Linked DNA regions of Mus musculus. The protein of the gene in region 2 interacts with the protein of the main gene of each other region in a pairwise test. Links are inferred from orthologs where the notes say so. Each region holds a gene or a part of one and is shown on either strand. Other genes may lie near its edges.

The links.
Region 1: the proteins of Nme7 (region 2) and Krt18 interact in binary tests that used the Homo sapiens proteins (3 or more experiments, as listed by UniProt). The two-hybrid records come from large-scale screens. The link is inferred for Mus musculus from reciprocal best matches to the Homo sapiens genes NME7 and KRT18.

The regions. Positions count from the first base shown.
Region 1 is NC_000081.6:102,027,117-102,030,865, reverse strand, and holds the start of Krt18 (keratin, type I cytoskeletal 18), read right to left. Parts: upstream 2,651-3,749; 5' UTR 2,588-2,650; coding exon 2,192-2,587; intron 1,401-2,191; coding exon 1,318-1,400; intron 1,044-1,317; coding exon 887-1,043; intron 248-886; coding exon 83-247; intron 1-82. UniProt on the Homo sapiens protein: Involved in the uptake of thrombin-antithrombin complexes by hepatic cells. When phosphorylated, plays a role in filament reorganization. Involved in the delivery of mutated CFTR to the plasma membrane.
Region 2 is NC_000067.6:164,331,557-164,335,205, reverse strand, and holds part of Nme7 (nucleoside diphosphate kinase 7), read right to left. Parts: intron 2,595-3,649; coding exon 2,428-2,594; intron 1-2,427. UniProt on the Homo sapiens protein: Possesses an intrinsic kinase activity. Displays 3'-5' exonuclease activity with a preference for single-stranded DNA. Does not seem to have nucleoside diphosphate kinase activity.

The sequences.
Region 1 (3,749 bases), on a different chromosome or scaffold from region 2:
TGCTGTCCTTGGCACCTCCCCTTCACACAGAGCTTACCTTAAGCGGAGTGGGGGCGGGCAGCTAGCCTTTCCTAGTTTGTACCTGCTGAGACCAGTACTTGTCCAGTTCCTCGCGGTTCTTCTGAGCCAGCGCTTCATACTGGGCGCGGATGTCCGCCATGATCTTGCTGAGGTCCTGAGATTTGGGGGCATCCACTTCCACAGTCAATCCAGAGCTGGCAATCTGGGCTTCCAGACCTTGGACTTCCTAAAGAAGGCAGAAATAAAGGGGGGTGGCAGGTGACACTTAAAGTCAGTTCAGCCCAGCCTTTCATTACTGATGGCCTTTTCTAGAAGGTGATGTTGAGTGTAAAGGCAGAAGAGAGCAGAGGAAACCCTTGGCAAGCCTAAGACTGGGCTTCTGCTCCAGCTGGTTGGGAATGCCACTCCTTGACAGCCTGAACCTGCCACTCGCTGGTGATATCCTCTCCTCGTTGTAGCTGCTTTTTCCTTCCACAGATCTTACCTTAAGCTTCTTCCAGAAGGCCCACATGAGCACCAGCTCCTAAGACTGGCAGTCCCCACCTTTGCCTCCAACTCAGGGTCTTACTCACACAATCTCTGTTTTACTAGACTAAGACAGGATGGCATTGAACTCAATCCTCCTGTCTCAGCTTTCCAGGAGGTAGTGATGCACAAGCCAGGCCTTAACTGGCTTAATGTTATCTTGACTCTCAATAGTGTAACTTAGGTGAGCCATAGAACATGTGTGAGCCAATGGCTCTGCTCTTAATCAAAACAGGCTAACAGCCGGGGCTTCTGCTTCCATGCTAGGCTGCTTTGGGGGCAGCCTGGCCCGCCTAGTCTTGGCCCTTAGCTCCTAGGCCTGGTCAGTGGCCCGGCTTACCTCTTCATGATTCTTCTTCATGAACAGAAGTTCTTCCTTGAGTGCCTCGATTTCTGTCTCCAGCTGCAGCCTTGTGATGTTGGTGTCATCTACCACCTTGCGGAGTCCATGGATGTCGCTCTCCACAGACTGGCGCATGGCTAGTTCTGTCTCATACCTGAAGGAGTGGAGGTGATCAGAGGGCCTGAACCTTCTCAACCAGTGCCACCTCCATAGACTAGCCCCGTGCCCACCATAAACAGTCACGGAGTCATTCCCTTAGCACGATTCTTGGCCTTGGAGCGTTTGCTTAAACTGGGCTGCACAGATGAAGAGCTAACTCAGTAGTCAATGAACCCTAACCTGAATAAACTTCGGAAAGGAAGGAACCCTACTCTAATACAGTTCTGGGAGTAGGCCATTCTTAGCTCCAGCTGCAGCCCCGGACTTACTTGACTCTAAAGTCATCGGCGGCAAGGCGGGCATTGTCGATCTGCAAGACGATGCGGGCATTGTCCACAGAATTCGCAAAGATCTGGGTGGATTAAAGTGGAGAGAGTCGCTTTGAGAGTTCCGGGTCACATGAGGGTGTGTGTGTGTGTGTGTGTGTGTGTGTGTGTGTGGAGAAGTGGGGGATGAGAAAACACGTCTTGTGTTTCAGTGAATCCATCCCAGTCCCAGGAACAGTCAGAGGCGTGTATTTCTGTCTTCCCTTCCCACCTGAGCCTCCTCTCCCTTCCTGGATTCCTTGCCCCTCTGCCAGGGCCTGCACTATCTGGATTGCTTACAAAAGAGCAGCTTCCAACAAGATTTCTCTGATCCTCTCCTGGCATCTTCTCCAGGTGCACCTGCTAACCCCCCCCCCCCCCCCCGTCCTGGGACGCGCCCCCCCCCCCCACTTGTCCCGCTGGCCCCTCCTACAGGTAAGCTCCTGTTTACTCCTAGATGACTCAGCCTTAGCCACATCCGCTTAACCCTCTAACTGTTCCTACTGGAAAAGAAGTGAGTGTCTGAGTTCATTTTATGATTCCCCCACACACACCTTTTTATTTTATTTTTTTTCCAATCCTGTTCTCTTCCCACTACACTGCTTGGGGGAAGCCGGCTCGCGTGTGTAACCACTACGCTTGGAATTCCTACAGGTTGTGGGTGAGAGTCCAGAGTATTCCTAACTCCGTCCCATAGAGTGTGTGTGGGGGGATGTGGTGAATGTGGAAAGAGTGGAGGGAGTCAACAGCCCACACTCTATTCAAGTTTGGGGGTGTGGGCACACTGGATAGACAGAACAGCCCGGAGCTACTGCCCCTCCCCCCTTAGGCCCCTTACCTGAGCCCTCAGGTCTTCGATGATCTTGAAGTAGTGGCCCCAGTCTCTGACGCCCTGGGGCCCCTTCTTCTCCAGATGTTCCCGGATTTTGCTCTCCAGTCTCCTGTTCTCAGTTTCCAGGCTCTTCACCTTGTCTAGGTAGCTGGCCAGGCGATCGTTCAGGTCTTGCATGGTCTCCTTCTCGGTCTGGATTCCACCCATTCCCGCCAGGCCTGCGGACCCCACAGAGCCACCCCAGACAGAGCGGGACACGGATATCCGGGACCCGGAGCCCCCAGCACCTGCATAGACGCTGGCTGCGCTGCTGGCAGGCCGGACCCGCTGGCTGGGAGTTCGCACAGAGCCCAGGGACCGGTAGTTGGTGGAGAAGGTGGTGGAGCGAGTTGTGAAGCTCATCTTGTCTGGAGAGGAGAGCGAAGCGAGAGACCAGAACAGGAGTTCCGCCGCGGAGGGTGGCAGTCCTCGACCTGTTGTTATATCGCCGCGGGAGGAGGTAGGGACCTCCCCCAGCAGGCCACGCCCCAGCCACCGGAGCCGGGGGCGCCAGGATCGGGATTCCTGTGACCTAACAGGTCGCAGCCCTTCTCCACTTCTGCACACGCCCTCAGCATACCTGCCATCCTCACCGACACAGGGAGTGGATAACTAAGGGGTGCACAAAGGATAGCAGGTGGTGTTAGCCCCTGAGTGTCTGTTTTCAGGGCAAAAAATGGCGTTTTAAATATCCGTTTATTCCGGGCGTGGTGGCGCACGCCTTTATCCCAGCACTTGGGAGGCAGAGGCAGGCGAATTTCTGAGTTCGAGGCCAGCCTGGGCTACAGAGTGAGTTCCAGGACAGCCAGGGCTACACAGAGAAACCTTATCTCGAAAACAAACAAACAAACAAACAAACAAACAAACTCCATTTACACAGACAGAAGAGGGGTTCACTAGGGTGAAGATTTTGTGGCATGTCGCCAGCTTAAGTCTGGGGGCAGTCCTAGAACCCCAGGAATCCTGGGGAAAGAAAATTGGGAGCTCAAAAAGAAGAGAAACACGAACCTGAGGGCAGGTCTCTTGGTTTTTCTGCTCCGGCCCCATGGTTCCAAGACACTGCTGTGGCTCCATAGGGAACCGTGGAAATACATATCCTCAAACGCGTGGGTACACATGTCCTCATTCAACTCATTCCCTGGAGGCTTTATCGGGGCCTTTGTGATTATGTAGAAGAGGTATCCCTATGTCTGGACACCTACCATTTACCTCCTCCTCCTCCTCCTCCTCCTCCTTCTTTTTTGAGACAGGGTCTCATGTAGCTCGGGCTGGTCTTGAACTTTCCATGTAGCTGAGGATGGCCTTCAACTCCTGATCTTCCCGTCCCACTTTTGAAGTGCTGGGATCCCAGGCATGAGACTCCATCACTTTCAGGTTACAGGGTGCTGAGGACCAAACCCAAGGCCTCATACTCCTCAGGCAGACCACTTTACCAGCTGAGAACACAGCCAACCCAAGAGCACATAGATTTAACCAGTATTTGCTAGACACCTTCTAGTAGCTATGGGAACAGCAAGGAAGAGAG
Region 2 (3,649 bases):
TGCCATTTCATAGCAAGGGAAATCATTTTTCAGAAGAGAATCATTATTAAGTCCATTTTTGGTTTTGGTTTTTGGTTTTTCTTTAAAGCTTGCTTTTTAGCTGCATCTCCAATTGGTTCTGTTTCTTTCTAAACCAAAACTAAAGAAAATCAGGGTGGCAAGCAGTAAGGAAAGAATAATAAAAAGGTACATGTGGGGGTATCTGCATGTGTGCGAGAGAGTGTGCAGTGTGTGTGTGTGTGTGTGTGTGTGTGTGTGTGTGTGTGTGTGTGTGGTGCAGCTACTGGGAGGTCTTTAGGTCACAGCTTAGAAGGGCTGTTAGGACTGCAGACCCTTTTGTGCCCTGAGGTAAACAGCTTCCTCTACCACTCAATATCCTTCATAATGTGTTCTACTGCAGGGACCCAAAGCATTGAGCCAAAAAAGTCACGGAATGAAGGCTGCAAAACTCGGAGGTGAAATTAACCTTGCTCTTGCAATGCGTAAAGAGATTTGCTCAGGGATGCAGAAGACACGGAAATGAGTAAGACAGCAAGAGAAGAATCGTCCCCAGGTCCTATCCAGTCCCGAATTTCTGGGTTTTGGTATTTAAATTTATCTTAGTGGTTGCGCAGAGCAATGAGCTTCAGTGTTCCATTTTCATAATGTACCTCCTTGACCTTCACTCACAGACCGAGCTTACCCAGTCCCTTCCTCTGTCCCCTTTCAGATGAGGCTTCTGTCCCACCCTGCCCCAGGTCCTCCTGCAGGGATCTGCCCCAGTGGAGCAGTGCACTGCCCACTCCGTCCCACTGGGTTGTCCTTTTTGTTTGCCCACACATTATAGTTGACATAATTGTCTTTTAAAAATTTATTTTTAGCTAATATATAAAATAATGTGATTCATGGTGATATTTTTGTTATAGTCTGCTATTTTTCACACCCCACCGCCCTCCCTAATCCTGACTCACTTCTTGTTAGTCCCTTTCCCTTCACCCAGTAATCTGTTAGCTTTTATGACGTGTATATTTTATTACAATTTCTCACTCCCCAACTCCCCACTCTCTTTAAACTTCTTCCCTCCATGGTCCCCTTTCTATACTCTATCTATCTATCTATCTATCTATCTATCCATCCATCCATCAATCCACCCACCCACCTATCCATCTATCTATATTCCACATATTTAAAAAAAAAACCCACTTGATATCTTTCAGTAATCTGGCTTCTTTCACTTAATGTAATGATCTCCAGGTCTGTCCACTTCCTTGCAGATGTTAGAATTTCACTCTCTATAGCTGAATAAAATTCCCTGGAGCAAGCTACTTCTTGCTTTGTGATTTCTGATGTTCTGATCGCTCTCTCCTTGGGGCAGGGTCTATTCTCTGTTACCTTGCCTATCTCTTCTGTTAAATTGCCCTGAGGCAGCTTCTCATCATCATCTCACCCAAAGTTTCTAGAACTTCCATTCTTAACTTGAACTGTCTTTGATCTTTGTTATTTGGTTTTTTTGTTTTTTTGTTTTTTTGTCTTTTTTGTTTTTTTTGTTTTTTTGTTTTTTTTTTTTGAGACAGGGTCACATGTAACCCAAGCTGGCCCTTGACTCCCTCTGTAAACTAATATGATCTTGAACTTCTGATCTTTCTACCTCCACTTCCCACATGCTGGCATGACAGAAACGTGCCACCACCTCCAGTTTTACACGGGGCTAGGTCTCAGGCCTTTGGGCTTCATCTTTGCTAGACAAGCACTGCCCCAACTGAGCTGCTTCCTGGCATGCACTGCTGCATTTCTATTAATCACGTACACTCCTTACTTCTTCTGCATATCTACTGTTACCATAATAATTCAGATCATTGTTGTAGTAATTAAACTTTTATAAGTTTTAGCCCCCAACTTACACAAGCAGGATAGCAAATAGTTGTTCTAACTTAAGACAGGATTTCCCACCTTTGGATCTTTCTCTATACTCACTCCTTTGATTAGCATTTCTCCCCAGTTCATCTAATTGGGGTAATAATTTAATTCAGTTTTATCAAGACAGAACAAACCCACAAAGCCTTCAGTTTTGCAAGAACTAACTTCACCGTCTCCCGGGTTACCGTGATTCGTACCAGCATCATGCTTATGCTTAGGAAGAAAACCTTATGCTCAAATAGTCTTAGGTTTTAGTGACAAATATAAAAAGCAGATAGAATGTGTAAGAGCTTTATCTCTGCCACCCACCCATCCAAACAGTCACCTCCTAAGACTACAGATATTGCTTCAATATTCTAATTAGGAACCAATCCCTGAATCAGTACCAAAATATTTTTAATGTTATAAAATTATATTAGGTCGCTGGAAAAACTATGTTGTGAAAACATGACCGAGGAGAGGAAATCAGAAGTTAGTGGCCAAAGTCACAGGCAAGGTTTCAATGGAAAAAGATGGCCCGGCTGTTCTTACTTCTCTTTCCTGCTGCCCAGCTGGCGGGCTGTGTATTGGTCCCCATAGTCAATCAACACCAGCTGTCGAGAAAACACATTGACTTTGTTGCCTATAAATAGATCTTCCAGGCGCAGGTCCTCATACTTGGTCCGCTTTAAGAAGGTGCGACGATTCTTTACATCATGCTAGAAACAGACACAGTAAGAATACTTATGAAGAACGTACGCCTTACAGAGAAAAGTCTCCAATTGATTTTACAAAAGACAGCTATATCCTATTACTTTATAACTACGTATATAAATTATATTTTATACTGTGAAGCTTTATTTCCAATCCAATCTAGTGATAAAAGTTTGTAATTAAAATATATATTTTAGAATATCCTAAATAGACCAAGTTATTTCAGTAACTCACCAGCTATGAGTGACAGAGACAGATTCTCATATTTCTTTTTATGTACACATCCCAATCACTAAAAAAAATTGTATTTCCTTTAAGAGATGTGTATTCATGTGTGTCTCCCTTTCTGTGGGTAGGTACATGTGAGTGAAGGTGCAGAAGTCACTGTTGGCTTGCCAGCAGCTGGAGTTACAGTTGCTGTGAGCGGCTCGGTGTAGGTGCCGGGAACCAAACTTGGGACCTACAAGGGCAGCTAGCACCCTTAACTGAGCCTTCTCTCTAGGCTCCAACCCCAACTGAGCTGACTTTTTAAAGTGATTGCCAATGAAGTGATGCAAAGAAAGGGACCCTCTTAGAGCCTCTTTAATTTGACATTTTATACAGATACCAACTTTTAACCGTAATATTTATGACTATGATAACCATTTATCTGTAACTACTTATCAAATATTGATTAATCCCAAAAAACAGTTGTCCTACTTCATTTTGGGGTCTCTCTATATATCTACTTCTATATATGTGTGTTATATGCAAGTGTGCATCCCTACAAACATACATGATATAGGAGGTTGCCTGATGTCTTCTTCAGTCATTTCTCACATTATTGTCTTAACACAGGCTCTCTCACTGAACCTGAAGTTTGCTTTAAGTTGGGTCAGCTGGCCAGAGAGCTCCAGGGAGCTCCTGCCTCTGTTACTCAGGATTGGAGTTCTCACAGGGAACAAGGCCCAGCCATTATGTAGGTAGGTGCTTAAGAGTCAAGCTCAGGCCTTCACACTTTTGCAGCCAGTATTATTTCCAGCTAAGAGATCTCTCTAGGCCTGTTTGTTTGATTGGAGAC